Drosophila melanogaster: one gene and its partner. Each later gene encodes a partner of the first gene's protein in a complex. Each region holds a gene or a part of one and is shown on either strand. Other genes may lie near its edges.

Region 1 (3,754 bases):
CCTAACCCATTTGAAAAGCAAACTGGTTTCTGTATTAAATTCTTACGTGTTATTTATTATTATTATACAGATTTTGGTTGTCTATTGAAATTCAAATACTCTTCAAATGTATTTACTTCATTCGTTTGTTGTTACGGCTAGGAAAAGTGCGTTACATAAAAGTAATGATAGAATATTAGTTTAGATCAAGTCAGCCACGTTCATGGGCATCTCGTCGATTTGTGTGGAGTAGTACTGCTCAATGTCGCGCAGGATGCGGATATCGTCCGATTTGACAAAGTTAATTGCAACACCTTTGCGTCCGAAACGACCAGAACGACCGATGCGATGGATGTACAGCTCACGGTTGTTGGGCAAATCGTAGTTGATGACCAGCGACACCTGCTGTACATCGATACCCCGAGCCCACACATCGGTGGTGATGAGCACTCGCGACTGGCCGGCTCGGAACTCCTTCATGATCTCGTCACGCTCCTTTTGCGGCATATCGCCGTGCATCGAGCTGACTGTAAAGTTAGCCTCGCGCATCTTCTCCGTCAGCCAGTCCACCTTGCGTTTCGTGTTGCAGAAGATGACGGCCTGGGTAATGGTCAGAGTATCGTACAGATCGCACAGGGTATCGAATTTCCATTCCTCGCGCTCCACGGCGACGAAGAACTGCTTGATGCCTTCCAGTGTCAATTCGTCACTGTGAGGGAATGGAATTTATGAATCATACTGCGTATATGGGGGAGCATCATATTGCTTACCGCTTGACCAAGATGCGAATCGGATCTGTCATAAATTTGGAGGTCATCTCGAGTATCTCGTGGGGCAAGGTAGCTGAGATGAGCACCACCTGGGTGGCTGGTGGCAAGTAGCGATACACATCGTATATCTGTTCCTTGAAACCCTTATTAAGCATCTCGTCAGCTTCGTCCAGCACTAGCATCTTGATGGCTCTATAAAATGTACTTATAATTATAATATTGTTTGATCGGGCACAATGAAACATACCTTGTTCGCAGCACTCGTCGCTTGATCATGTCGAAGACTCGTCCTGGAGTGCCGCTCACAATGTGTTGACCGTAGTCCAATTTGCGGATATCCTCGCCCAGGTTGGTGCCACCGATGCACACATGGCACTGGACATTCATCATGTCGCCGAGGGCAAGAATGACTTTCTGGATTTGCACAGCCAACTCGCGAGTGGGCGACAGGCACAGAACCTGCGTCTCCCGCAGCGTGGTGTCCAGGCTCTGCAGGATGGAGATGGAGAAGGTGGCGGTTTTGCCCGTGCCTGATTGTGCCTGGGCAATCACATCCCGTCCCTTGACGATAGGCGTAATGCTCCTTTGCTGAATGGCCGAGGGTTTCTCGAAGCCTTGGGAGTGCAGAAAACTGGATTAGTTCTAGACCGGCCATAGGTATACACACCACTCACCGTACGCGTAGATGCCGCGTAGCAGCTCCTCCTTTAGATTCATGGCGTTGAATGTGGGTATCACCTCCACATCCTCGCTCGTCTCGAACTCCACGTTGGAGAGGTCCTCCGCCTGGGCATTCTTGCGCGCCATGTTCACGATTTGTTCGCGTGCGGTTTCGGCTGATATTAATAAATATTTACAGTCTTTTTCGGCTAATTTTTCTGACTTTCACAGAAAAAAATGCGGTCCGCTTACTAGGGGTGGCCTATCAATTGCTTAGCAACAATCGATTATTGAATCGGCGTCGATTTAATTTGATATCGATATGTTTTCACTTATTTTGCGACAAGTGGCAACACTGATATCGGGCGGAAAAAATTTAAAGTGAATATATGTTCTTATTTATTGTATTTTATAAAATATAAATATGATTATTGCCATAACAAACAAGAAACTCAACTTGTTTTTTCCGGAGTGCTACTTCTTCTCCTGCGCAGGAAGTTCTCGAGCGACTGAAGATCCTTTCGCTTCAGCATCTTAATCCTGCTCACCAGTTTTTGCAAAGCTTCGATCCGTTGCTGTGCTTCCTTGGCGGCGTCGTTGGCCTTCTTAGCGCTCTGCTTATTTCGCTCCAGATCCTTCTGAGCCTCGCACATGCAGCTATGGAGCTCTTCCACCCGCATCCTGGCCGCTTTCAGAAGGCTGCGCTTTTCCAGGGCCTCTTTCTGGGCACTGTCGGCCATCCTCCGGATGTTATCGAGATTTCCGCCCATTTCCTTTAGCATACTCTTCATAATGTTCACGGATGTGCAGAGCTTGTCACGGATCCCCTTTGCCGACGTCGCCGAGCACGAGCTGGCAGCAATGGCTCGTTGGATTTCCTCGATAACCCTGTTCGTTTCTGCCAGACTTTTGGTGTATTCATCGAGGAGCTGCTTCTTCCCGTTGAGAGCCGCCTCCGCAGCCTTGGCCGCCTGCAACGCCCTGTCCGCCAGCATTTCCCGTGCCCTGTAGCCCGCCATCTCCGCGGCACATGGCTGCGCATCCTTGGCGTCCTTCGCATCCTTGGCCGCCTTCGAGGCCACCTGGCTGGCTTTCATGCTCGTCTTGCAGGGAAGGGAGCCGGGCTTGAAACGCGGATCATTCCGCTGGGCAGGATGCGCGGCGGTCGACAGCAGGATGTTCGAAAGAAGCAACATCGTAACCAGGGAGTCGCAACGCATTGGGAATCTTGCATCGTACATAAATCTCAAGGCTCATCAGGAAATCGAAATGTGGAGATAATAATGGGAATATAGCAGCTCCACCTTTCAAATCACTATTATTTGAAATATTTGTACAGTAACCACAAGTTACCTGGAGTATATATTTCTTAAATATCTTTAGAAATCCGTTTAATACAACTATTTCGAGTTAAGCATGGAGATAGCACGAATCGCATTTCTACTTTTCTTCCTGTTCTCAGATCATTCTGCGGGCCACAAGTTGCCGCAGTCCTCCAATGAGATAGCTGCTCTAATGTCGGATCATCATGGTGATGGCGACAACAGTGTGTCGTCATCCTCCGGCGGTGCCCCGTGCGACTTCAAGATGAATGGAAAGACCAGGGTAAAGGCCTCATGCATTGCGCAGAAGGCGGCCAAGGAAGCCATGGAGGCATCCGATGCCCAGATAGAGGCTGGCGAGGCAGCTGCCCGCCAGGTGAAGCAGCAACTGGCCGACAAAGCGCTGGCCGCAGCCAAGGCGGCAGAAGCTGCTCTGGCCGGCAAGCAACAGATTGTCGAGCAACTGGAGTCCGAGGTGCGCGAGGGGGAGCTAGTGGTCCAGGAGGAGAGCACCTTGTTACAGACCACCCAAACTACTTATGCTGCGGCCGGGCAAGCGGCCAAACAGGCGGCAGATCAGCTGAACACCATTACGCTGGCGGTGAAGAATGCGCAGGATAATGTGGTCAACTCGGAGCACGTGGCCAGTGGCGCTCAGCAGGAGCTGGGCGAGAAGCAACAGCTTGTGGAAGCGGCCAAGAAGCGGGTGGAGCTATTGCTCCGCCAGCTGGAGGTGGCCCGTGTGGATTTCAAGAATACCAAAAACGCCGCCGAGAAGGCAGCCTGTGCTGCCCAGGAGGCCAGGCATAGGGCCACCAGGGAGCGCAGGAGGGCGGAACTGAGGCACTTACTCTGGCTGAAGAGGGGGCGCACCAACTGAAGCCAATAACTTGTATATCTTATATTTTATTTTACTTTGCATTTTCAAAAGGGAGAATATAATTCAGTTTTATTAAATTCAATAGTTCGTAGGTGAGATCACAATTATAAACTACAAATTGTGACATCAAGTTTATCATGATG
Region 2 (3,347 bases), on another chromosome or scaffold:
TTAAGGGAAACTAATACCCGGCAGTCCGGCGGATCGTTGTGGAGAGCTCAAGGTGGGCGATCGCATAGTGGCAGTAAACCGCATCGAGATAGCTGGCATGTCGCACGGCGATGTAGTGAATCTCATCAAGGAGTCTGGTCTTCATGTGCGTCTCACTATCGGCGTTCCGCTGAAGGAGGGTGGTCCCAGTCCTGGCGGCAGTAGCGTCGGTGTGTCCAGCAACACTCCGCTGCAGGCATCTCCCAGTCTCCTGAAGGCACAACTCTCCCACCAGCAGCAACTTCCGCAGCAGCATCTACAGCAAGCGCAGCTGAATCACCACCACCAGCATCTTGAGATGCCAATGTCAATGCCCGTGCCAGGACATGGCAGCTATTTGGAGCGACCCAGTAACAATATCTCAGCCACTTTGGCGCTGCATCAGCAGCCACAATTATGACTCTGAGACCTACGCATTCGGCTCTATAAGAGCTTTCTATAGTGTTGCATCGCCTGCAGGCCCTTAGTTTGTACTTTCGTTAGCAAAGTACTCACCCCAAAGACTGAATTTAGTAGCATATGTAAGCCAAACCCTTTGCAAGTCTCAAAACCGTATGTGAGTGCGTATTTTATTCCAGTTTCTTAAGATACCGATCATTATCTTAGGCTAAGTTACTGCTTGTACTTAAACGTTAAGACAATTTGCCAGTTTGTGAGATATTAATCACTTAGCTTAAGCTGTTTTAGACATATACGAATTGTACAAATGTAAAGGACTTTAAATTTTTATCTCGAGTATGTATATTATTCAAACACAATAGATATTAAATTGTATTTTTCAAATATACCTACACATTATAACATCAAAAGTTAAATGGTTTACTATTGTGTTTGCTATTATTGTTAAACTTGTTGTCTGCTACTACATCGAAGATTTGCTATTTACTTCTATAGCACAATCTAGACTGTACACAAGACTTTGAAAACAAAGTATCTTCCAATCCTTTTTTATTCACTGCAAACTGTACCAAAAAGTACAAAGGTATAGCTTATACAATTACAAGTATCGTAGAAGTTCCATTATAAAATACGATGTGTCCGTCCGATAAATAGGCTATGCTTGAGGTGGTGGCTACGGCTTATATGGGCTTGATCTTGAAATGCAGGCCGATGAGTGAGAAGACCAGGCACTTGAGATCCTGCACCAGGTAGTAAAAGCATCGCAGGCCCTCGGGATCTTTTGACCGGTTCACGTCCACCAATGATCCCGTTTTCGAGGTGGTGAACGAGATGTGCTCGTCTCCGATGACGATCTCCAGTTCCTGAAAAAGACACATGGTTGTTTAGTTGAGCTCTAGTTACGGAGTGCGGCAAACCGACCTGTCGACCCACGCGATCTGGTGGCGGCCAGGGCAGATCGTCCTCCTGCATGATCTCCGAGTCGATGATGATTCGCTTCAGTTCTTCCATCACGGACTGGTGGACGAAGGCCTCCTTGCGGATCATGGTGTCGTTCTTGTAGTTGGAGTTGTTGGCGTACCGCAGCTTGCCATCCGGCCGGAACTCGAACTCCAAGAATTCGTGCCCGAACTTGCCCTTGTGTCCGACGTAGTAGCGTAGGTAAAAGTCCTCCGTGGACATGATTGCTTCTAGTTTAAAGCGTAACTTTGAAAGACTTTCAGAAAAATATCAATTTTTGGTTTCCCACTCTTTTTCCTTTACTACAACGCGTTAGAGATGGGAAAACACACGGAATAACTATCACCGCGTATCGATAAGTGTTCGCTGCGAATGGCTGGCAGGGATGAGGAAGAGAAGCCAGCCTATCGGCGTATCGATAACACAACAATAATCCACGTACAAGTCGCGCATTTGGCACTGATTTTTATTAAAATGTAATTCAGTTTTGGATGCCATGGAACTACCTCAACAAGTATGTGAACGACAGGGCGGTGTGTGAGAACCCATCTGTTAAACGGTGCTCGAAACTCGCTGGGCAACATTGTAATTATTGGCGAATTGAAACAAAGTTGGCAAATCGGGTTTGTTTGCGGCCGTGTGATTGTGTGCGTGTGCGAGGCCATCGCCGTTGTAATGGCGTCCATGTCACTAAAATGGGAGAGGACATGCGGCTGGCTCTCCGGTTCCAGCGCCCATAGCCATCGCCATGTCCTTATCCTTCTCCAGTGCCCCGTATCTCGGTCAAAGTAATTTTACAAAAACACACACGGCCATTAATTTGCGCTCGGCGAGCGGGAGAGCCATGAGCACGGAGAGCGCACGTCCTGGCAAGTGAAAGTGCAAGGATGCGGGACCGCGCATGTGTCGCTCTTGGCGGGAAAATGGAATAAGGGTAAACGGAGCACGTGCCCGCCCGGTCGTCCTTCGGGAAAAGTCGGTCGTGCAACAAAGTTGCGCTCAGCTGAGATGCAATCCTCTCCAGCTCCCGTTGAAGCTAGGCCCCTTTTTTCGCTCTTTACGAGCGCTTACTTCGCTTGTGGTGGTTTGTTTTGACTGAACGCCCGGAAAATCGATGGCATTGAGTGCAACATTGTGGCATCCGCCCATCTGCCCACCGATGTGCCCCGCCTAGTAATGCTCCAGGTCCCGCAACATTTACAACAGTTTATGCAAACAAATCTCTCACGCGCTCTTCGCCTCTCTAAAAGCGCTCTCCGTCCGCATACTTGTACTTGTGCGTACCCAAAGTCCGGATCCGGAGCTCTGTCGGTCCGCCCGGGTTACAACTTTGTTAACTTCGGGCTTTTGTGTGTGCAGTCGGTAACCAGGACAGTAACCGGGAAGGAGTTACTTTGTTGCGTATTAATTGATTTTTTCCGCAATCAGTTTTTGCTTCTTTGTATAACTTCAAGTGCTCATAAAAAGCGGTAGAAAGTTTGTCTTTAAAAAGACTTTGACTTGGGGGAAAATCGGTAAGTTGCGGATGAAGGACTATGGAAAGTAAGAGGATTTGGGTGTGTATCCAGAAAAGATGCGAGGGCTTACATATACATTACTGCACAATTTTGTTGCTCGGGGGAATCCCCTTTCAAAAAAAATATATAGATATGTATGTTGCCTACATTTAGGGGCTTTCTCACTAATAGGAAGTGTCTATACTTAAATTGGTGGACTTGTATACTTAATTAGTTTCCAGTTAACTTAAACTAATGGTTTTCCCACTTTCTCATTTTTTTCCAGGCCATCTAGGGACCTGCCGACCGTGGCTGGGTAAAGCCCTACATGCAACATTTCGCCGCCTGAACGAACAATTGTGGGTACATGACGCCTTTCACGAAGTAACGCGAAATCAACATGTCAACGAACCCCAACCCCGGAATCCATCAGTATGCACCCTCCACTTTGCC

Evidence for each region.
Region 2: CG7483 (region 1) and mago share a complex: the UniProt entries of both Drosophila melanogaster proteins name them as parts of the mRNA splicing-dependent exon junction complex.

The regions. Positions count from the first base shown.
Region 1 is NT_033777.3:8,311,140-8,314,893, reverse strand, and holds CG7483 (uncharacterized protein), read right to left. Parts: upstream 1,687-3,754; 5' UTR 1,557-1,686; coding exon 1,424-1,556; intron 1,364-1,423; coding exon 997-1,363; intron 942-996; coding exon 750-941; intron 689-749; coding exon 181-688; 3' UTR 30-180; downstream 1-29. Other genes in the region: CG11698 (uncharacterized protein), read right to left, coding at 1,862-2,650; CG11694 (uncharacterized protein), read left to right, coding at 2,826-3,611. UniProt on the Drosophila melanogaster protein: ATP-dependent RNA helicase. Core component of the splicing-dependent multiprotein exon junction complex (EJC) deposited at splice junctions on mRNAs. Involved in exon definition of genes containing long introns, including the rolled/MAPK gene.
Region 2 is NT_033778.4:21,126,967-21,130,313, reverse strand, and holds mago (mago nashi), read right to left. Parts: upstream 1,738-3,347; 5' UTR 1,621-1,737; coding exon 1,360-1,620; intron 1,302-1,359; coding exon 1,119-1,301; 3' UTR 577-1,118; downstream 1-576. Other genes in the region: magi, read left to right, coding at 6-439; Tmtc3 (transmembrane O-mannosyltransferase targeting cadherins 3), read left to right, coding at 3,295-3,347. UniProt on the Drosophila melanogaster protein: Core component of the splicing-dependent multiprotein exon junction complex (EJC) deposited at splice junctions on mRNAs. Involved in exon definition of genes containing long introns, including the rolled/MAPK gene.